Linked DNA regions of Pelodiscus sinensis. Each later gene encodes a partner of the first gene's protein in a complex. Links are inferred from orthologs where the notes say so. Each region holds a gene or a part of one and is shown in the gene's direction. Other genes may lie near its edges.

Region 1 (11,356 bases):
TGCCTTTGTGACAGCAATGGCCACACTCACTAGAGGGCGGAAGCCTTGCTCTAAGGAATGCGTGAGTGGGGTGGGGTTAAAGGGGTGTTGGGTGTGGTGTGGTCACAGGACAAGAGGATGTTGGCATGGGCTGTAGGGGTCAGAGGTTAAAGAGTCAAAGGGGACAGGCTGTAGGGGTGGGGAATCAAAGGGTATTAGCACTAGAGAGCAAGGGGCTGGATTGGGGCTAGGCAGACAAGTAACATTTTATCTGCATATTTGTATATTGATGATGTGAATAATGAATACGCAAATAAAATGTTAGCAGTCTGCCAAAAGTTTGTGAACAGGTTTGCTGGTCTGTGGTATAGAAAAGGTTGGGAACAACTGATTTAGAAGATCTGAATTCATTCTCTGCAGAATCTGCATAGCAAGCTTCTGAGGGATGGCACGACATGGCAGGCAGGAGCCACAGAGGTTATGCAAAGAATGCTTCAGGAGCTGGAGAGTGGCAGGTAAGCAGGCAGTGATGAAATCAGGTCTGTGCACAACTTACAGGAAGCAGCAGAGGCCAGATTCATAGAGTTTAAGATCAGAAGGGATGGTTGTTATTATTTAGCCTGATCTCCTGCCACAGAACCTCATGTATTCCTGTACTAGATTCCTAAACCTTTGGCAAAGTGACTCAAGTCCTCAAATAATTATTTAAAGACTTAAAGTTATAGAGAATCCACAATTTACACTTGTTCAAACCTGGAAGCCACCTGTGTCCCATTGCAGAGGAAGACAGACAAAACAATAAACAATGCTCTCCCCAAAACCCTAAGGTCTTTGCCAATCTGACCTGGGGGAAAAGTCCTTCTCAACCCCAACTATGGGGATCAGTTTGACCCCAAGAATGATGCCAAGATCCAACAGCCGGACACTTGGGAAAGAATTCTCTGTAGTAATTCAGTCCTCCCCGTCTAGTGTCTGATTGCTGGCCATTGGCGTTCTTTGCTGCTACCCGTTGCAGACTGGCTACACGCTACTATAGGCAGTCTCATCATAATAGCTGCTCCATAAACTTATCAACCTCAGTCCTGAAGCCAATTAAGCTTTTTGCCCCTGCTGCCCTGCTTGGAAGTCTGTTCCAGAATTTCACTCCACTGAGGCTTAGAAAACTTCATCTAATTTCAAGCCTATATTTGTTGGTCAGTTTATATCCATTTGTTCTTGTGTCCATATTGGCACTTAAGTTAAATAACTTCTCTACCTCTCTGATATTTATACCTCTGATGTGTTCATAAAGAACAATCATATCTCTTGAGTGGGCCTTCACCTCCTTGGTTAAGCCAAACAAACCATGCTCTTTGAGTCTCCTCTAATAACCTAGGTTTTCTATTCGTAAGATCATCCTAGTAGCCCTTCTCCACACCTGTTCCCATTTGAATTCATCTTTCTTGAACTCAGAAGATCAGATTTGCACATTGTACCTAGAGTATTTGCAAACTTTCAATTTCCTGCCAGTCCTGGGAAAATATCCCTTCCCTTTAGACATGTACCTAAGTGCATATTGGGAAAAGCCATTGAAGGATGGCTATTAACCTTTATTAAGAGGTATCCCTATCTGTAACAGTTCATATGCCACAGAAAGCAGCAGGTCCAAATCCTATTAAATGATTAGGTAATTGGGAGAAATATTTGGAAAGCAGAAGTGCAGCACCTGCTCAACTAATTAAGATGAAACATTCTCAGGAGTTTAAGCAAACAATTTCATGTCTGTGAAAGCCATTTTCTTTGGTTTTAGTTAATATTGTTTTTATTAAGATTAATATTAATTTCTTGCAGCTGTTCCCAAAAATAAGAGAAACTCATAACTTGTAAGGAGAAGTGCTGAAGATTCAAATTATGGCCATCATTTGATGGGTCAGTCACAGCCTGTAAGCTATGTGGTTCAAGTAGAGTAGAGAAAAATATAAATGCAGAGATAGGTAGGCTAATATAGCCTGTCTATTTCTTATACCAAGCCAAAATATAGTGATTAGGCTAAGGAAGCTCTCTCAAAAATGGAATAACTCCTATTATGTTTCTTCATGTTCATTTTGGCATTAATGATTATTGTAATAAAGGTGTAACACAGGACTGCTGATCAGACTGTTTTTGTCTAGCATTTATTTTCTGGCATAGACCAGGATTAAAAGTGCCTAATATCCTTCCTTGTTAGATGATGTGGGTCAGAACATATCCATGACTAACTCAAATGGCTCTAATGACTGTTAGAATCAGTACTCCATTTGCCCATTTTTTAAATGCATGGGGAATGGTATATTTTTCACTTATTTTTACTTCTTTAACTACTTGCTGGTTGGAAAATGAGAGTTTTCTTATTAATACAATTTTCTACTGCATAAAAATAGCCCACCACTGCTATTCAGAGCAGAACCGTTTATCTTTAATAGCACAACCAAATCTTTTATTGGCACAGATAACAGTCCAGCTAATAGTAATATTTGCTCTCATGTGGCATTAAAACCTACGAAGCAATTTGCAAACATTAGGTAGTACAGCTTCACAGCATCCCTAAGAGATAAGTATGGTTACAAATTGATAAAGCAAGTCAGAGATTGTAAGGCTCTGAGTTATAAACTAGTGAGGAAAGCTACTTCAGTATCAAACTGTGCAGTGAATACAAAACTACCTGGCTCCACAGTTACTGTAATTGTGTGTGCAAATAGAGTAACCATTTGCAAAATATAATTCAGAAATGGCTTTTGTGCGTGTATATGTATTTGCACACATACACTGTCTCTTCATACCCATATGCAGATTCATAGCCACACAGCTGGTCAGTTTCTAATGATGGAGAGAAACGAAGTAATGCAGTCAGGAACACTGTAATTTTTTTTATATAAAGGATGTGCATATAACCTGTTAAATCGAGCGAGACCAAATTGCTCACAGCCAATTCCAGAAAGCTTCACTACTGACATTCACCAGAAACAACTGACTCTATTCTTCACTATCTGTCCTTCCAGGTCTCAAACTCTCTCTCAGCAGACATACAACTTTTCCCTCCTCACTGACATATTTCCCTCATTGAGGAAATTGAAAAGCAGTAGAACATCACCACACTGCCCTTTGCTCACATATTATTGTTCAGCTACTAGTTCATTACCACATTGATCACCTCATTATAAAAGGGAGAAACTGAAAGTCACAAATTTTAACACAGATAAAGGGATTTTTTTAAAAAAAATTAACATAATTAACGTGTGGATCTTATTGCCACAAACCATCATTGGGGCCAAAAGTTTCAGATAATTAGGATTTGGATTAGCTGTTTTGATGGATAAAGACAACTGAGAACATCCATAGTTACATTGTATAGGCTACATACATATTAGAAACACCAGGCATAACCCAAACACAGACAGAAAGGGGTTAGGAAACTTCCCCCTAAGTTTTTCCTTAATTGTCTGCTATGGATTTTCTAGCACCTTCTTCTGAAACATCCTTAACTGATTGGGTTCAGTTGATTGATTATTGGGTTCAGTTAAACAAAACACATTTATTCATTCACTTGGCATTACTTCTCCAAATGTCTTCTTTATTATTTATGTATTTATTTTGGTAGCAACCACTGTATGCTAGGTTCTTTCCAAATACTTCTATGCCTTGTTTTTAACTTTATTTTATCACTTACTACTCCTCATCCCTTTTATCCTACTATATTTTCTACTCTCAACATTCTGTCTCCTCATCATCATCATCTTGTTTCTATTTCTGCACTCATTTTCATTTTCACAAATTTCTACGTTCCATCATATCATTTTCTGAATTTTCTTCTATCTTTCTGATGACAGTTCCATGCCATGTCCTCTGATCACTGGAAATGGTTACAGAAAACATGGGATTGTGGAATAAAATCCAGACTCTAGCAACTGATGAATCTCTAGCAATGGAAACAGCATAATGTTTCATAAGGAAGTTAAGCAAATTTTGTTGAAATGAGTATGAATAAATTTGGTAACAAAAATAATTGCTAGTGCACTGAGTCATCAGAAACCACTGCAAACAAGATACCAGATGACTTATCAAAACTTAGTGTCAGCAAATACTTTGACATGTTGGGGGGAAAACAATAGTGCTATAAGTACCTATCATGTAAATGGTGGACTAGAAGTGTGAGTGGGATTATCTATTTACAGTAAAGGTTTAATATTTATTTTATCATTGTGGCCTTTGTGTAGTTTTGATCTTGTTTTTACTTCAGCGTAAGAAGATCTTGTAAACACCTTGGAGCAGAAACTGTATTTGTTTCTATACCGTATTGAACATACTGTTGGCACTTAAATAATTACATGATAATTATAGTTAACACATTCTCATTATCCTATCTGTTATGTATCTTAGGTAGCATGTAAAACAGGAGTGGGAAGCCTAAGGCCCAGGGGCCGGATGCGGCTCACCTGGATCTGGACCCCGGGGCTCAGCGCTCTTCCCCAGCAGTGGGGAGTCTGTGTTTGGTGTTCTAGGACCCTCCCCCCCCCCCCCCCCGCCAACTCCCTGTGGAGCTGGAGCACATGAGGTTCCAGTGTGCGAGGGGAATGTGGGAAGTATCTTTCTCCTTCTCAGTCAGGGGCCACATCAGTGAGGTTGTGGGGTTTTTTTTCAGGTTGTTGGTTTTTTGCCTTCTCACTTGTGTGCAGCCTCTGACTAATTTTTCTGTGGATCAATGGTCCCCTGAACCAAAAAAGGTTCCGCTACCCCCAATGTAAAATGTACACTTCCCATCATTGTATGTGTTTGTATTAATGTGGATTTAGTACAGCACTTATATTAGAGAGCACTTATTGAGTGCCTCTATTATTCTTAAAGTCTAAATAAGAAGTTTGTTGGTAAGGGGCTCTTACCTGAGTATTTCCTGGAAGAACGGCAAGGTAGGTGAGGTAATCTCTTTCACTGACTCAGTATATGCTGGTGAAAGAGAGAAGCTTTTACCTACAGAGACCTCTTCTTTAGGCCACCTTGGAAGCATGTGTAACATTATTTCCGGACATGCTGACCTGCAGATTAAACAATATGAAAGTGCCTTAGGCTGTCAAATTTAGGGTCAGGGACATCACTAGCTGGGTTCTCAAAAGGATTTAGTACCCAAGACCTCCCACTGAATTCTTATGAAAGTCTTTTGCTATAAATTTACTCTCGGTACTTTTTGTCTGTTTCATTTAAGGAATCTGCATTCTCTTTTCAAAATGTTTTATGTTTAACTTCAGAATTCATCCAAAACAAAGAATACCTGAAAACAGAGCAAGAAAGAGTTGCAAGTGAATAAACAAACTATTCACAACACACTCGCAGAATTGCCAACCCCCAGAGTAATGCCAGTACAAAACAATTGGCACCCCAATTGTCCAAAAACCGTAAGTCAGACCCCTCCAATTGTCTTAAACATAACATATTGGAGACTCTTTTTTTTGCAGATTGAGTCTTTAAGGTACCTATAGTTTATTTACAAACTTTCTTCACAACTACAAAAACTAGAAACTTTTTTGTAATGAAATCTAAATCCCATATAATTACAAGAAAAACACCAAATATGGCAAGGTTCACAATAAAATAATTCACAGCACTATATTCAGGATCTAACTGAACACAATTGAGCTCCATCTCGGTTGCAAAAGACATTTTGTTTCAGCCTTTAAGATCTCCAAAATTTGTTATAAGTGGGTTAAACTGTTTATTAGCCCAATAAAGGCTTTCAAAATGAAAACAACAAAAAAAATTAAAATGTGTGTCTTTTTTTCTTTTAGCTTCTTTGATGGAGGACTCTAGTGAGATTGTGACATCATCAAAAGCAACGAGGAAGTGCCATCTAACTAATTGTGAAAGGAAGTGAATTTTAAACAGGTTATTTAAAAATGGAGTACAGTTTTGATAGTTATTTAATATCTATCAGATATGTGAAGTATTTATATGGTTCCTATCACAGCAATCTTTGAGCAGCTAAACATCTTTAATCACAACATACCTTTTAATGTAGCTGAAACAAAATACAGGACTATGTAGCACTTTAAAGACTAACAAGATGGTTATTAGGTGATGAGCTTTCATGGGCCAGACCCACTTCCTCAGATCAAATAGTGGAAAAAATATGGTTGTGACAATTTTCTTCCACTATTTGATCTGAGGAAGTGAGTCTGGCCCACGAAAGCTCATCACCTAATAAACCATCTTGTTAGTCTTTAAAGTGCTACATAGTCCTGTATTTTGTTTCAGCTACAACAGACTAACACCGCTACATTTCTATCACTTTTAATGTAGGGAAGTCTTTCAGGAAAAAAAAAGTAAGGAAGACCAGGTTTGATATTTCTAAGGGGAAAAAACCAGGTAAGTAAAATATTTTGAAAAAATAATTCCAGAGCTATTGAAACCATTATAGAAAAGCAAAATACCCACAATTCTTTCTGTTTCTTCTTTGCATGCCCCTTTAACATTCAAATTTCTGATACCAGGACACAACCGAGTTGTATTTTTGGCTCAGCCAACACTCTGCTTTTTGCCAAAACCATTTTCAAGAAGGGTGCTTTTGAAGAGAAAGATTACAATTTTCAGGCTGTACAGGATTGGGGCTAATATCAAACGGATGTAGCTCTTCACACGTTTCACTGGATCTGAAACCTGAAGGACCTTTAAAAAAAAAAAAGCCTAAAACAAAACAACCCCTCGCTTCTTTCCCCGCAGATAATTAGATGCAAATGTAAAAAACCAAACCAAAACAAAACCTTGGGAAAGAGAGAGCCCGGGGTTTAGTTCCCCTTCTTTCAAAGAGAAACAAAAACCAGGCAGCTCCCACCTACAAGAAAGTCCCGAATGAGGTAACTGAGACAGGTGGAGGGAGTGGGGTACACAAAGATGAGTAAATGCCTCGGATGATTCTGGCGCTGTCCGGATTTCTAACCAAGCAGGGCTCAAGGCCAGGCTGAGCGCGGCTGAGAACCTTGAGGCACAGACAATAAGGTGGGCCCAGGAGGAGCGGGCATGGCTCTACCTAGCTGCTAGCGCCGCTCTCCAGGGGGAGCGCTCCCAGCGTGTAACCCGAGCGCAGGCCGCTCCCCTGGCTACGGGGCTGGGGAAAGGGGGATGTCTCCTGCCCCGGTGGCCGCTGTTAGTACCTGGGAGTCACGTGGGCTGTCCCCGGGCTAGGGGAAGGGCTTAGTGAGGGCAGCTGCGGCAGAGGTGGGTTCCCCCTCCACCCCGCCAAGGGAGGATGAGTCCCAAGGAGTAAGCCACCCCCGCCACACACCTTCAGCCGGCGCTCACCTTCCTGCGCGCGGCCAGGCACCTTGTGCAGAGTTGAGGAACTCGTTTGGCCGGTGCTGAGCCCGCTTGCCAAGCGAGGCGGGGAGCCGCGCGCCATTGGAGGGCTGGGGAGAGCAGCTGGCGTGCAGCAAGCGGGGCGAGCGTGCAAGGTGTAGGGCGGGAAGCTGCCCCGAGCGGCCGGGGCCCGAGTTCCAGCGAGAGGTGAGGGGGCTGCGGAGGCGGGGCGCTGCGCGTCTCGCACCGGGGCTGGAGGGGGTGTGGGTAGCTTGGGGGGCAGGCGCGGCGGCTCGCCAGGCGGGGTGCGGGGCGTGAGGACCGAGCCCCCGGGGGAGAGGGGAAGGCGGTTCTCCCCGAGCCCACAGCAGCTGTGCGCTCCGGAGCACGCTCCGCCTGAGCACCTGGCCCTGCTCCTGCCGCCCCAGAGCTCCACCCCGGGCGAGTGGCTCTAACTTTCCTAGAGCTCCTGCGGGGTTCGCTTCCTAGGTGCTGCAGCACCTCCCTGGATTGGAGCGATTCCCAGGCGGGGTCACTGTTTGGTTCCAGGGCTCTCCGCATCCCTGGCTGCCTTCCCCGAGTGCTGTTCCCGTTGGCTTGCCCGGACCTGAGACAGCCAAGGCAGGAGTGCCAGGGAAAGGCTGGAGGCTCCCAGGCCAAGCGGTGGCTCTGCTTGATTCCCTAACTGAACTTTAGAGCCGCGCAGCCCACCGCGAGAGAAAAGCCAAACTGGTTCTGGTAGCTCTTTGACAGGAATCCAAACAGGTCCCAGCCAGATTCAAGGTGCAAGGGCTGTCCCCCTTCAGCGTTTATCTCTCTCTCCAGACATGTGCGCTAGTTATCTACATCTCCCAGATTTCTGTAACTAAGGTACAGAGGATGTCTGGAGGCCATTCATAAACTAAACTAGATATTTAACGTTACATAATAGTTAACTAACCTAAAAGGGTGTTACAGGGAAGAGGGAGAAAAATTGTTTTCCTTGACGGCTGATGATAGGATAAGAAGCAATGGGCTTAAACTGCAGCAAGGGAGCAAGGTTGGATACCAGGAAAAACTTCTTAACTGTCAGGATGGTTAAACGCTGGAATAAATTGCCTAGGGAGGTTGTGGAATCTTCTTCACTGGAGATATTTAAGAGCAAGTTAGATCTGTAGCTATCAGGGATGATATAGACCCTTTTTGGTGCTGCTGTGAGGGCAGGGGACTGGACTTGAAGACTTACAATTCTAGTATTCTATTGACTTACTCTCAAGATCACTTACATTTCTAGTATTCTATTATTGTATTGTATTAATAGAGCTTGTATAGTGTAATGCCAAAATATCTATTTTTTCCCTGGGTGTAATTCACTAATCTCCTCCAGTGCGCGCACAGACCTGCGTGATTGGGTAAATGACCAGTACACCTGCCAGTTCTGATTCATTTTCAGAATGATCACATTTTAAAGTAAACATTAACTCAATGGAGAAGCGCACTGCATTGATATGTTGCCTAAGTGGAGGAGGAAATGAAATAAAAAAAAAAAAAGCAAAACTGGTGTTTGTTTTCAAATGTCTTTTCAATCCCGTCTGCCTGCACAATAGAGAAATGAACGTCATTCTCCTCCCTGTACTGGGTGGACAAAGGCAAATTATGATGCAACTGCTTTGACTCCAGAATTTGTTGTTTGTATGTAACTGTATATGCTCCATTACATTTTATTTTATTTTTTTAAAGACTCTCTACTTCTTGAGCTCATTGTAATAACTTTTCATTTTCTTTTAATATGAAAAGGATTGCCTGATTCCATTGTGACTGCAGCAATTTTGATCTGCACAACTTTATATAAAGCACAACAACATAACAAAGGAAGAAAATGCTACAGGATATTAATTCCTATGTCGACTAAGCGATTGTTTTCTTCCTTTTTATTCACTTAAGGAAATGAGAAATCCCGGAGTGACGATGTTTAATATTTTGACCAAATGTAAAGGTTATATAAAGGCTTACACATTATATGAATTTCAGGCTAAGCCAGCGATGAGAAGCCTAGACTAGTGAATGGGCAGCATATTGTTGTAACTAAGATGGTCTCCTGGGATAGGGTAGTTTGCTAACTGCGCTTGTATTCCTAGAATTTGCAGGATGTTCCAGTTAAACCATAGCAGCACTTTGACTGGATGTAGAGGAAGCTCACAGTCAATGTTGTATGCAGTTAGCCCATGTGTCTTTGGTTTATGTGCATGTCACTTCAGTAATACAAGTAAGGAAAAAACCTACCCAGCCAGCGGGATCTGGCAACTCTGTGCATAGGTAACGGTAAACATAAGGTCTCACAGGCCACACACAGAACCTGAGGGACCACAGGTAGCCCTGAGGTGGCAGGTTGCCCACCACTGGGCTAAGTCATATTCTCTAATAAAATAACTATATTACATTATCAAATAATTAGTTTCACAGGAGGGGAGTCATTTTTTTAATTGAATCTCTTAGTAGGGTTCATGTAACTTTTCTGTGGGTCACAAGTGTAGTGTATTTCACTTACGTACAAACAGTTTTTATTAGTGGTATTTTAAGTGTCAACAGTGTAATTTTGTGCTGTACAGCCATAGGCAGATAGTCCCTACCTAGAAGACTTTACAATACAGTGAATGTAGAAATGGAAGTTCAAACTCTAATGATAATAGCAGCTCTTCACTATATTTTAGGGAGTGTTTAATAAATGATTGGTGCATCCTACTTGTGATGGTGGGGCGATCTGAAGAAAACATTGACTGCTGTGAATTCTGATGAAAATGGTAGTAAATATATTGCAGGAGTGAGTCAGTTCTACACAGTCTTCTAAAGAAGTGAAGCTGGTATTTATTAAGGAACATTTATAATCATATAATAAAACTTGTGTAAGAATATCATCCATTAGGTTTGTCACTATCTGGAACTCCTAATGTAAAAGTGGAGCAAAGACATTTAGTCGTAATTTTTCTGGATTTTTGGTTAATTGTTTTTGTGATTCAGATTTCTTACTACATGGCTGTTACTTAGTAAGATTTAAAATGTCCTCAAAACGCTAGCTTTTTTTCTCTAAAAGTATTGCTTAATCGAACTAGTTAGTTATCGAAACAATATCCTAACTTTTTATTTTGAATATGCTCTGATGCTAGTGTTAAAAGGACTGTGTAAGTAGTTTCATAGATATAGTACCAGGAACTTCTGAATATTGGAGGCTCTCAGATTTGTGATCACCATCTGCTGACTGGGCAATGTATTTACAGCAAAGTGTAAGGGAAAAGTGAGCCAAGTACAAACCAAGTGGACTATTAGCTAACAAGATTCTGACATATATCCTGCACATGTTCTTATTAGATTTCCAGGCTTTAACTTTTTTGAGGTGAGGTTATGAGTGTCAAATTGTGTAGTGTCAAATCATGATTGGTAGTCAGTTTATTTTAAAATCGTAACTCAAGCTCGTGGTGAACATGATGGTTTGGTCATTTGTTCTCTGTTTATCTCCGTCTCTGCAGTTTCCAAATGTGAATTTTCTTGGCAATAAAAGATTGAGCACTTTGGTGGTGTCAGAGTAACGTATACCTCATACTCACAGATGTATGTCTCAACTCCTTCAACTTCCCCCCCCCCCTTTTGTTTTTTAACTGAGCTAAACATGCATGTGGCCTTAATTTCAGTAACTTGAACTATTCTCTTGGCTTGTTCTCCCTTATGAGAATTCTTGTGTGTATTCTGGTCCCTAGTCTTGCAATTTGCAATACTAAATTGGATGAGCCACTTGCCTGCTTCATGTCTTTGCCTTCTATTCAAATTAGCCTACACTCATTTGCTATTTTTTTTACTGTAGTTATGCAGCCTTTATTTTGACAGTATGTTAGTTGTGTTAGTCCTGATTGTGCAGTCTGCTATAGGTTTAAATTCTTCTTTTGGAATCGTAAGAGTTCCGGTCTGTATCCTTGGCTGTTTTTCTTTAACCAGCATCTGCTAAATGGGACAGTCTGATCCTAATTATTTGAGCAAAATACTGAGAGCCAGAAACTCTTCAATGCTAATCTCATCTCTGCCTGTGATTTGCAATGTGACCTTGGGC
Region 2 (11,167 bases), on another chromosome or scaffold:
CAGATGTCATTGAGGAGCCTTTGGCCATTATCTCTGAAAAGTCGTGGCGGTTGGGAGAAATCCCAGATGATTGTAAAAAGGCAAATGTAGTGCCAATCTTCAAAAAAGGGAAGAAGGACAATCCAGGGAACTATAGGCAGGCAGTCTTGCCTCAGTTCCTGGAAAAATCATGGAAGGGATCCTTAAGGAGTCTATTTTGAAGCACTTGGAAGAGAGGAAAGCGATTAGGAATAGTCAGCATGGATTCACAAAGGGAAAGTTGTGCCTGACCAATCTGATTAGCTTCTATGATGAGGTAACTGGCTCTATGGACATGGGAAAGTCAGTGGATATGACATACCTTGACTTTAGCAAGGCTTTTGATATAGTCTCCCACAATATTCTTGCCAGCAAGTTAAGGGAATGTGGATTGGATAAATGGACGGTAAGATGGATAGAAAGATGGCTAGAAGGCCGGGCCCAGCAGATAGTGACCAACAGCTCGATGTCAGGATGACGGTTGGTTTCTAGCGGAGTGCCTCAAGATTCGGTTCTAGGAACGGTTTTGTTCAGTATCTTTATGAATGACCTGGATAAGGGGATGGATTGCACCCTCAGCAAGTTTGCAGATGACAGTAAGCTAGGGGGAGAGGTAGATACGCTTGAGGGCAGAGATAGGGTCCAGAGTGACTTAGAGGATTGGGCCACCTTGGAGGATTGGGCCACAAGAAACCTGATGAGGTTCAACGAGGACAAGTGCAGAGTCCTGCACTTGGGACGGAAGAATCCCAAACATTGTTACAGGCTGGGGACCAACCAGCTAAGTTGTAGTTCTGCAGAAAAGGACCTGGGGGTTACAGTGGATAAGAAGCTGGATATGAGTCAACAGTTTGCCCTTGTATTCAAGAAGGCTAATGGCATATTAGGTTGCATTAAGAGGAGCATTGCCAGCAGATCCAGAGATGTCATTATTCCCCTTTATTCGGCTCTGGTGAGGCCACATCTGGAGTATTGTGTCCAGTTCTGGGCCCCCACTACAAAAAGGATGTGGACGCATTGGAGAGGGTCCAGCAGAAGGCAACCAAAATGATTAGGGGGGTTGAGCATATGACCTAGGAGGAGAGGCTGAGGGAGTTGGGTCTGTTTAGTCTGCAGAAGCGAAGAGTGAGGGGGAATTTGATAGCAGCCTTCAACTTCCTGAAGGGAGGTTCCAAAGAGGATGGAGAAAGGCTGTTCTCAGTAGTGACAGATGGCAGAACAAGGAGCAATGGTCTCAAGTTATGGTGGGACAGGTCCAGGTTGGATATTAGGAAAAACTATTTCACTAGGAGGGTAGTGAAGCACTGGAACAGGTTACCTAGGGAAGTAGTGGAGTCTCCATCCCTAGAGGTGTTTAAGTCTTGGCTTGACAAAGCCCTGGCCGGGTTGATTTAGTTGGGATTGGTCCTGCCTAAAGCAGGGGGCTGGACTTGATGACCTTTTGAGGTCTCTTCCAGCTCTATGGTTCTATGATTCTTTTTACAGTGAAGTTGTTTGGGAGATGTTTTAAATTGTTTTTTTTTATTTGACAGTCAGTGCCCTAATTTGGTTTTGTTCTGAAAGGGATCATCTGAATTTCAGAAATATAACAGTCACTCTCATGACTGAATTAGTGTTTCTTGGCAAAGGATATGTGTCTTTTTTATTACTGAAAAAAAGAAAACAGCAAGGGAACCATAAGAGCAAATGGGAAGGACCATGTCAGAAGTAATTTAGCGAGGATGTCAGGTGTGTGTCTGTTCTGTTTCTTCTCTGAAACTCTGTCTACAGCAGGGAACTTTAAAAAAAAATCTGCCTGTAGAAACACAGGCTTAATGTAGCATTAATACTACAGTGCTGGTATTAATAATACAGTAGCATTAATAATATAGTGCTGAAAAAAGCTGCTGGTGTTAGAAAGCTGTCTTTACTAGAGCTGCCATCTTTGCAAATGCTGTGTCACAATCAAGTGCAGTATAGGGGTGGGGACAAGAGTCCCAACCAGCATGCATACCCGCAAGCATCTGGTGAAAGGCTGGTTCAACCCGTTTTTCCACACTGTTCAAAGAGTAGAGCTAAATGGGCTTCATTATGAGCCTCCTTTGTTATTTTTAAATGGCTCAGCCAGAGCTGATACAACTTGTGGGAGGACTGTGTTATAGATAGAAAGCTAGCTAGATTGTCTGGCTCAATGGGTAGTGATCAACAGCTGATGTCTGGGTGGCAGTCAGTATCAGGTGGAGTGCTCTAAGGGTTGGTGCTGGGTCTGGTTTTGTTCAGTATCTTTATTAATGAAGCTTCAGGGGGTAGCTGAGTTAGTCTGTACAGCAGTGTTTTTTAAACTTTTTAAGACTGAGGAACACCAAACAATAATTTTTTTTATGAGGAACACGATGGATTTTTTTGTTGAACAACAACAACAAAAAGTCGGCGGGAAAAAACGGGTCGAGGGGAAGTTATTGAGAAAAAAAAGGTTGCCTGCCCTTTTAAGGGCAGCCATTTTAAACTCTGTTGTTTGCCGTGGCACACCTCAGACTGCCCTGTGGCATACCAGTGTGCCGCGGAACTAAGTTTAAGAAACACTGCTGTACAGGATAAACTTAAACAACAAATGGTCTGGTAGCACTTTATAGACTAACAAAACATGTAGATGGGATCATGAGCATTCATGGAGTGGGTTGTGCTCACAAAAGCTCATGATACCGTCTACAAAGACCATTTGTTGTTTTTTAAGTTTATCTTTATTAATGACCTGGATGAGGGGATGGTTTGCACCCTCAGCAACTTCACAGATGACATTAAGTTAGGGGGAGAGGTAGATATGCTGGAGGTTAGGGATAGGGTCCAGAGTGACCTAGGCAAATTGGACATTGCACCAAAAGAAATCTGATGAGGTTCAACAAGGAAAAGTGCAGAGTCCTGTACTCAGGATGGAAGAATCCCAAGCATTGTTACAGGCTGGGGATTGACTGGCTAAGCAGCAATTAGGCAGAAAAAGACCAGAAGATTACAGTGGACGTGATGCTGGATATGAGTCAACAGTGTGTCCCTGTAGCCAAGAAAGCTAACAGGATATTGAGGTGCATTAGGAGGAGCATTGCCAGCAAATCTAAAGAAGTGATTATTCCCCTTTATTCGGCACTGGTGAGGCCACATCTGGAGTATTGCATCCAATTCTGGTTCCCAATTACAGAAAGAATGTGCACACACTGGAGAAAGTCCAGCCAAGGTAACAAAAATGATTAGGGGGCTGGAGCACATGACTTATGAGGAGAGGCTGAGGGGTTTGGGTTTATTTAGTCTACAGAAGAGTATGGGGGGATTGTATACAGTTTTGTATACAATAACATCACTGTAAAAAAAGCTCCCCCAGTAAAAAAAATTAGCTATTTTTCTCATATTTTCCTAGCTGAATTTGGTAATTATAGATATATCATTTAATATTTCTGATTAACAAAAAGTAGAAAATGCCCTTGACATTGTTAGTTATTAAGGTGTTAAAATACTGAAATTGTGATTCTATCAGGTTGCCTTAGTTAGCTATTTGTGGAGTTCCCCTTAGCTGTTTGCAATAGGAGCAGTGCATTCTCAGAAAATAGTGCCTAAACCTGAAAAACAGCTTTTTTGAGCCTTGTATTAGGCTACTCCTGGAAACTCAATATTTGAGTTTGAATGACCTAAGTCTTAAGGAAACAAGCTGTCCTATGTTGTGTGTACAGATCTTGGACTAGTCTGGATGGGAGGCTATCAAGTGCTGGCTCTTCAGTTGTCTCTCTCCCCACGTTGTGCTTCTCCTGCCCTCTCCCTTGGAGCTGACCCCCAGGAGCCACCTGCTTGCTGTGTAGGGTGGGGAAGGCAGAGGAGGGGAGCACAGATGTCAAGGTGTCCCCTGCTCCCATGCCTGTACTTCATCTCTTAGGGCTGCCAGGTGTCCAGTATTCACTCAGACACTGGTATTTTTGCCCCCTGTCTGGTAAAAAAAATCAGAAAATACTGGACACTTAAAATGTCTGGTATTTTCTGATTTTTCCCCGGCCAGGAGGTGAAAATCCTGGGTGCTTACCTGGGTCCGCAGGGGAGCTGTCTGGCCCGGAGCAGGAACACAAGATGGCAGATGGTTGTGTTTCAGGCATTTCTTAAAGGGGCCATGCTGGGGTTTTTAATGTGTTTAATTTTTAATTTTTCTTTGCTTAATAATTTTGGTCTCCCCCCCCCCCTTTTTTTTTCTCAACAGAATTTTTCCCCCGGTGTATTTTTTGGGGGTGGGTGAGTGTTCGGTATTTTTGGTTAAATCATCTGGCAACCCTAATCTACACAAGCGTCCAGTAGCCTAGGCAGGGGAAGACTTTGCCTTCCCAAACTGCCAGGCATGGCTCTCCTCACACTCCGCCCCCAGTGCCTGCCCTGCCAATACTCCTGGCCGGGGAGGCTGGAGCCACGCGGCCTCCTGCCTCCCTGATGCTGGGGCTGCATCAAGCACCCTCCTCCATCTCTTGGTGCTCCAAGGAGGCAGGAGATGCACCGTGCACCCTCCTCCCTCCACTGGTGCTTTAGGGAAGCTGGGGGCCACACACCTGCTTGCCCCCTTCCTTCTCTTCCCCTCCCCCCGGGGGGGGGGGGGGTACGCTCAGCATGCTGCCCCATCTCCTCCCTGTGAGGGGTGGGGCCTCAGCAGAGGGGGAAGCCATGACTGAACATGCTCAGCAAACTTACAAGAGTAATGCAAATCTATAAATCTCACCATGCTGTGTCTAACACTCACACAAACACACTCTGTCCTTAACACTCACCTCCCTGCCCAACACATCCTTGAGTTGTTTTTACTTCTTTTACTTGTTTCAAAATGTCTTATTTCAGGTTTTTGACTGGTCTGTGCATTTTATAATTTTTATTTCTCTCTGATGCTTAAATTAATTATTTGAGTAGTGAATCTAAAAAAAGCTACCTGTCCTGGCTGGACTAATTATCCTCATGATAATTTAAAAAATATTATCAATTATTAGGATTTTAATTTCAACAGTGCTGCACATCACCTCAATATTGGTGCACATAACAAAATTCATTCCCTCTAATTTTTTCCCTCCCACACTCTGAACTCCTCAGCCCAAGACCAGAACCAAACCCTTGTCCTAGCCTGGTGAAAGTGAGTGAGGATGGGGGAAGGCGGGAGGAAGGAGTGAGCAGGGTGGAGCCTTGGAGAAGGGATGGGCCAGAGGAGAGATTTTGGAGAAAATTACAGCACTAGTTTCCCAGAATAGGGCTTAATCTCCTGGAGGCTCTTGCAGCCAAATCAGGAGATCAGCCACTAACAGTGCAGCCATAACAATAGGAAGCAGCCTCCTGCCCTGGCCCTGCACTCCTAGAAGTGGCTGGCCCGTCCTTATGGCCCCTGGGGAAGGGGAGGGAGTCTCCACACACTGCCCTTGCCTGCAGGCATTTCCTCTGCAGCTCCCATTAGCTGGGAATGGGGAACAATGACCAATGGGATGTGGGGGGGGTTGGGCCTGCTGAAGGGGGTGCCACCTGCCCCTCCCTCTCAGGAACCATTACTAGACATACTAGATTCCTTCAGCAATGATGCGGGGCCAGGGTGGAAGTGGGTCTGCTTTAGCCCCTCTGCTACACTGCCTGGGTGCTGCCCAACATAAGCATTGTCCAGCTGCAGCCCACATCCTTAATCCCTGCCTCAGCCCTGAACCTCTCCTGCACCCAAGCTCTCTTCCATAGCCTGCACTCTGAATCCCCTTCTGCACCCCTACCCCAGGCTCAGTCTGGAGCCCCTCCCACACAAACTGCACATCCCTTTGCACCTCAACCTCCTGCTCCATCCTAGTGAAAGTGAATGAGGGTGGGAGGGGAGGGGCAAGATGGAGTCAGCAGGGTGGGGCCTTGGAGAAGGGGCAGAAAGGGAAATGGGGCAAGGGTATTAAGGTTTGAGGTAGATCCTGGATGGCACTTAAATTCAAAAAGTGATCTTGCGCTTAAAAAAGCTGGTGTAAATACTATGTTAAGCTGACCAGATACATGCTAGGTGTATATGCATGTGTTTATATTGTGCTAGATTGGTTTGCCTGTGTGTAGATTCTCCATTTAGGCTATGCTATGTACTTTTTGTGTAGATGCTTTGCTGGCTATGTGTAGATATTGCATAAGGATGGGATCTATGCATTTGTGTTTGTAGGTATCCTGCAGGAGTCTGCATGTCGGTAGATGATCTGTAGATGTGCATATGCAGGGATGGTCAGGAGGGCTGGGCTGAGGTTGTGAAACTTCTGTTTTTTGTGTAAAGATGACTGGCTTGGCGGAGCTGGGGTGTATATCTCATGTTCTGCTTGGGCGTGTATGTGTGCTTGAGAGCTGGATTGCATGGTCTACTCCCTGGAGAGTGTTACAGATCGGGTGAGCTCCCCCCTGGACTCCCAACTGTCTAGATCTTGGGGGCAGAGGCTATTCCAGAGAACTGAGCTGTCCCTGCGCTGCTTGCTCTGGAGGCCCTGCCCAGGGGGCTGTCGAAGAGCCTAGGTCTGCATGGGAATGGGGACTATGCCAAGAGAGCTCTGCCCGATGGATGGTCCCGGCTGTATGGGACCCTGCCCAGAGGGCCGCTGTCAAAGAACGGAGCTCTCTCCTGCGCCATGCGGGACCAGGGATTTCCCTACACCCTCCCCCCATGGGAGTGTAACCCCCCCCCAATTTTGTGAACTATGGTGCCCTACAGCCACCGTCACCCTGCCAGTTTCACCCCTCAGCCCTGACACCCCCTTGTAAATTGGAACACCTCCCCTAATTTCAGCTCCTGGGGAGGCTGCTGTGCAGGACCCTGCCCGGTCGAGGAGCAGGGGTGGCTCTGCCGGGGCGGTGCCATGGAGCCGAGCGCGCCCCAGGCGGCATGTGGCCCTGCCGGGGAGGGGGGCGGGCTCTACCTGGCGCTGCGCGGCACCGCCGCTCACCTGTCCGCGCGCTTGGGCGGGGCGCTGCAGCGCTGCGCGGGGACCATGGCGGCTGCTGAGCCCTGCGCCGGGCCGCCTGCCCAGAACAAGCCGGACAACACGGCCTTCACGCAGCAGCGCCTCCCGGCCTGGCAGCCGCTGCTGTCGGCGGGCACGGCGCTGCCGCTCTTCTTCTGCGTGGGGCTGGCCTGCCTGGCCCTGGGGCTGGGGCTGCACTTCTCCTCCGCCACCATCCGGGAGCTGGAGCTCGACTACACCGGGGCGCCGGGCAGCGGCCACAACTGCTCCCGCTGCGCCAACGCCAGCGCCGGGAGCTGCACCTGCTTGCTGCTCTTCCAGCTGCCCGAGCGCTTCCCGGGGCCCGTGTGCCTCTACTACCAGCTCTCCAACTTCTACCAGAACCACCGGCGCTACGGCGTCTCCCGCGACGACCGGCAGCTCAGCGGGGACGCCTGGGGGCTGACACACCCAGCCACGGAGTGCAGCCCCTTCCGCACTGACCCGCAGGGCATCCCCATCGCCCCCTGCGGGGCCATTGCCAACAGCCTCTTCAATGACGCCTTCACCCTCTACCACGTTATCAATGGCTCCTTCTACCCTGTGCCCCTGGACAAAAGGGGCATCTCCTGGTGGACCGACTCCAACGTGAAGTTCAGCAATCCAGAACCGGTCGATGGCACCCTGGAGAATGCCTTCAAGAACACAACCAAGCCCCCCAATTGGCCCCGTGCTGCCTACCAGCTGGACCCAGACAACCCCAACAACACCGGTTTTATCAACGAGGACTTCATCGTGTGGATGCGTACTGCTGCCTTGCCCACGTTCCGCAAGCTCTACCGCCGTGTGCATGAAGGCAACTTCTCCTCTGGCCTGCCCCAAGGCACCTACTGCCTCAACATCACCTACAACTACCCTGTCCTCTCCTTCCAGGGCACAAAGAAGGTCATCTTCAGCACTGTTTCCTGGATGGGTGGCAAGAACCCCTTCCTGGGCATTGTCTATCTGGTCTTTGGCTCTGCCTGCATCCTCACTGGCTTTGTCATGCTGGCTGTTCATATCAAGTACCAGAAACAAAATCAGATGGATGTGGAATAGAGAGTCAGAGTCCAAATGCCACCAAACTTTGAGCTCCAGATGCAAACTTTGCTGCTAGCATCTGGGCCTTATCTTTCTTTTTCAGTGGTATCAGTCTGATTTCAGTGGGTTTACTGCCAACTCCCACTAGTGTAAGTGAGAGGAAACTTGGACCTTCAGTGTCCGTAGTAGGCTGGATGAAAACCTGGTTTCCTTGCCACAATGGAGAGTTCAACGCTGCTTAAATTCTACAGCTTATTTTAAACTGAGTGATAAGCCCTTCACTTTGTCTATATATCTGTGCACCTAAAGAATCACTGTCAGATTTTCTTTTTGCCTATACACAATTACCAATATTTCTAATTACACCTCAGACTTTGTTTTTTACTTTTTTAGAAGACTGGGATCATTTCAATCTGTCTCACTTTCAATCCGTCTCACTTTCTACACTATTTTCCTCTATCTGGATTAACTTCTGTTTTTCTAATCTTTTTTTTTAGTAATGGAAGTGAAGCTCACTAGTCTCTGTCTATGGATAGATTTTAAAGACAATGCACTGCAGAGTTTGCAATCCAACAGCAAATCATTGTCCTAATGCATGGTAATCTAAATATGCATCTGACTAGAATTTAACACTATTTCTGTTTAGTTCTAACAAGACTTTTACAGATTCCATTTTTGGAGACTAAGTTATTTGTGCCTTTTTCTTTACACTGGTAAAAGGGACATTTGGTAATATCATAGCAAGACCAAAGATCAATAAGAGACAGTGTTCACAATGATGAGTTCTATCATGCTGCTTGAGCCCAACGTGTAAAACACTTTCATAAAGAAGCATCACTCTGCTGGTGGTTGATTTGGCAGCTGGTAGCTGCTTATGGCTAACAATCCAATTGTCAACTGTTTTAATTTCAAGAATGCTTTTTTTCTTTGAAGAGGAGGATTATATACTAGTCCTTCACTAAAATGGAAAAAAAATTGACCTGAAACTGTCCAAAACAATAAACTTTAAAGGTTGATGTTAATCCTTAGCGAGAGACTATCATGTTAGATGCTAGATGTAAGTGGTAACTGTGATCCAAAACCATTTTTCTTCCCTCATTCCTTCTCACTTGGGCTCATGCTGATAGCTGCAGAGAGAGTAGAGGCTTCTTTCTACACAATGACTTTACTTATAAGCATCTTCTGGACACAGCTGACTAATGTTGATACAGTCCACGTAACTTCACTCATCGAGAAAAGGATCCTTTTTCTGTTATAGATTTATCTTCTATTTTAAAAGGATGGGAAGATCTTGCCTTGTCCATATGTTCTTTTTCTAACAGATATTGCTAAGAATGTCATTAAATAACCTTGAGACTAGAAACACTTTACATGGCAATAAAATCAAGTCGTCCAACTTACTTAGTTTGTGTCCAAAAATAGCGACTCCAGTGCCTAGAAAGACTAAGCAAGGAGAATAGTCTTAAGTCCTCAAACATGTATTTTCCTGAATGTTTATATTTTGTTTCCTGTGAAGGTTTTTTTTTTAACCTCTTAAAAAGTTGAGTTGACAAGTTAGTGATGGTAGGTAGCTTTGGGAACCATCACTTGATAGTGGTTGCTTATGAGATGATTTCTTATTAGATGTCTGAATGTCTGTGGCATGTGATGATGTCTAATTCACAATGTAACTGCTCCCCTTGTCACATCCATGTATATTTTGAAGTCTTTTGGGCAAGTGTGGGATCTCTTTTTAATTTTTCAAATTGGGTGAATCTTACTCCATAAAAGTTTCTTGAAACAGATTTATAAATGTGGGCTTATTACTACTTTAGAAGCAGTGTCTTTTATACCAGTGCTGTGAACTATATGTCAGCTGAGACCTGAAAAGTCAGGTAAAACCTTGAACAAATTACTTCAACTCAAAGCATTTTCAAAGAAGTAAAAGAACACAAGTAATTGTCTAAGAAATGGCCTTGCATATTAAATGAACTTTTTCCCCAAGCTCACAGTGGAATTGGGGTCTGTGGAATGCTGCAAATGCAAGAAAAAGTTTTCATACAAAGATAATAGCAGTGTGTACAGTGAGCATATGAACCAAATTCTGCTCTGTTAGACCCATGCAAATACACTGAGGTTGCATCGGTGTAAATTAGGACAGACCTTGCCCTTTCTGCTGTTAACATTATTCCTGCTAACTATTTTTTTTACATATAGATTTGCCCGGCAGTCTGATCCATGTGGGAAGTAGACTGTAGAATGCAAATATATGTAACTTCATTATTAGTTTATATTCACTGCTAGGAATGTTAGCTCTCCATATTGTGAAATGGGTTACGTGCCCCACAAACCGGTAATGCTGCTAGTTCTGCTAGTATCTCTTAAGCTTAATAATGGATGTGGATCTTCTGGAAGGCCTCTTGGAGTGGAAAGGGCAAGCTCAACTTCAGCAGTGTAGCTCTTTTTATGGGAAAAAAAACCCAACTGTTAACTACCTAAACCTGTTGTAGTTCATGTCTACCAAAAACATTCACAAAGTGCAGGCCAATTATGCAAATAGCCTTGAGAGATGGTGACTAGATTATGCATGTGGATTACATGAAAGAAGACTTCACTGTAGACTCGGGGCATGATTTTTTTTTTTTACCCTGATGTGCATAACTAAATCCATAGAGTTCTACTCTGGTATAACCAACATAAACAAGAGGAGAATCAGAACCTTACTGACTGATGAGAGGCTATTCTTCAAAGTTTTCTGTAGTTACTAATTGTCCATATTTTGTTTCATCTGTATAGAAGACTTCTTCACCACAGTGCATGTGGTTTTTACTCCTATATTTATATATCTTTCGCAGGAGTTTAATTGCAGAGAGAGTAAAAACATACTTTTTTTCCTATTGCCACCTGATGGAACCCTTCTAAAGGAACTGGGAATGACCCTCCTTTCTCCTTTTCCTAGTCCATTTTGATATCTTTATAACCAATAGATGAATCAGGTAAACTTCTCATTTCCCTGTGAAGTCATGGTCAACAGTTTGACAATGTGAATGAATACCCATTAGTAAGAACTCCATTCACTTTCAAAACTTATTTAAGCTAAAAGGTGTTTATGGGGAGAGTGTCTATAATTTTATTCATAGATTGCTTGAAGGCAGTAAAGGTCC

Evidence for each region.
Region 2: the proteins of ATP8B1 (region 1) and TMEM30B are in contact, whole or in part, in a cryo-EM structure (PDB 7VGH), measured with the Homo sapiens proteins. The link is inferred for Pelodiscus sinensis from reciprocal best matches to the Homo sapiens genes ATP8B1 and TMEM30B. Residues at the interface, in NP_001361314.1 of Homo sapiens: Trp362, Val366, Ser369, Ser370, Trp371, Tyr372, Leu373, Tyr374, Asp375, Gly376, Phe418, Trp421, Asp422, Leu423, Tyr426, Asp431, Pro433, His939, Trp942, Arg946, Tyr968, Phe971, Asn972, Gly973, Ser975, Ala976, Gln977, Leu1003, Gln1005, Phe1049; in NP_001017970.1 of Homo sapiens: Gly9, Ala10, His11, Gln12, Pro13, Asn15, Phe18, Thr19, Gln20, Gln21, Arg22, Leu23, Pro24, Ala25, Trp26, Gln27, Pro28, Leu30, Ser31, Ala32, Ala35, Leu38, Phe39, Phe46, Leu49, Leu53, Tyr109, Tyr111, Asn116, Phe117.

What each region holds. Positions count from the first base shown.
Region 1 is NC_134716.1:110,410,997-110,422,352, forward strand, and holds the start of ATP8B1 (phospholipid-transporting ATPase IC), read left to right. Parts: upstream 1-6,989; 5' UTR 6,990-7,485; intron 7,486-11,356. UniProt on the Homo sapiens protein: Catalytic component of a P4-ATPase flippase complex which catalyzes the hydrolysis of ATP coupled to the transport of phospholipids, in particular phosphatidylcholines (PC), from the outer to the inner leaflet of the plasma membrane.
Region 2 is NC_134722.1:38,427,015-38,438,181, reverse strand, and holds TMEM30B (cell cycle control protein 50B), read left to right. Parts: upstream 1-6,909; 5' UTR 6,910-6,992; coding exon 6,993-8,042; 3' UTR 8,043-9,808; downstream 9,809-11,167. UniProt on the Homo sapiens protein: Accessory component of a P4-ATPase flippase complex which catalyzes the hydrolysis of ATP coupled to the transport of aminophospholipids from the outer to the inner leaflet of various membranes and ensures the maintenance of asymmetric distribution of phospholipids.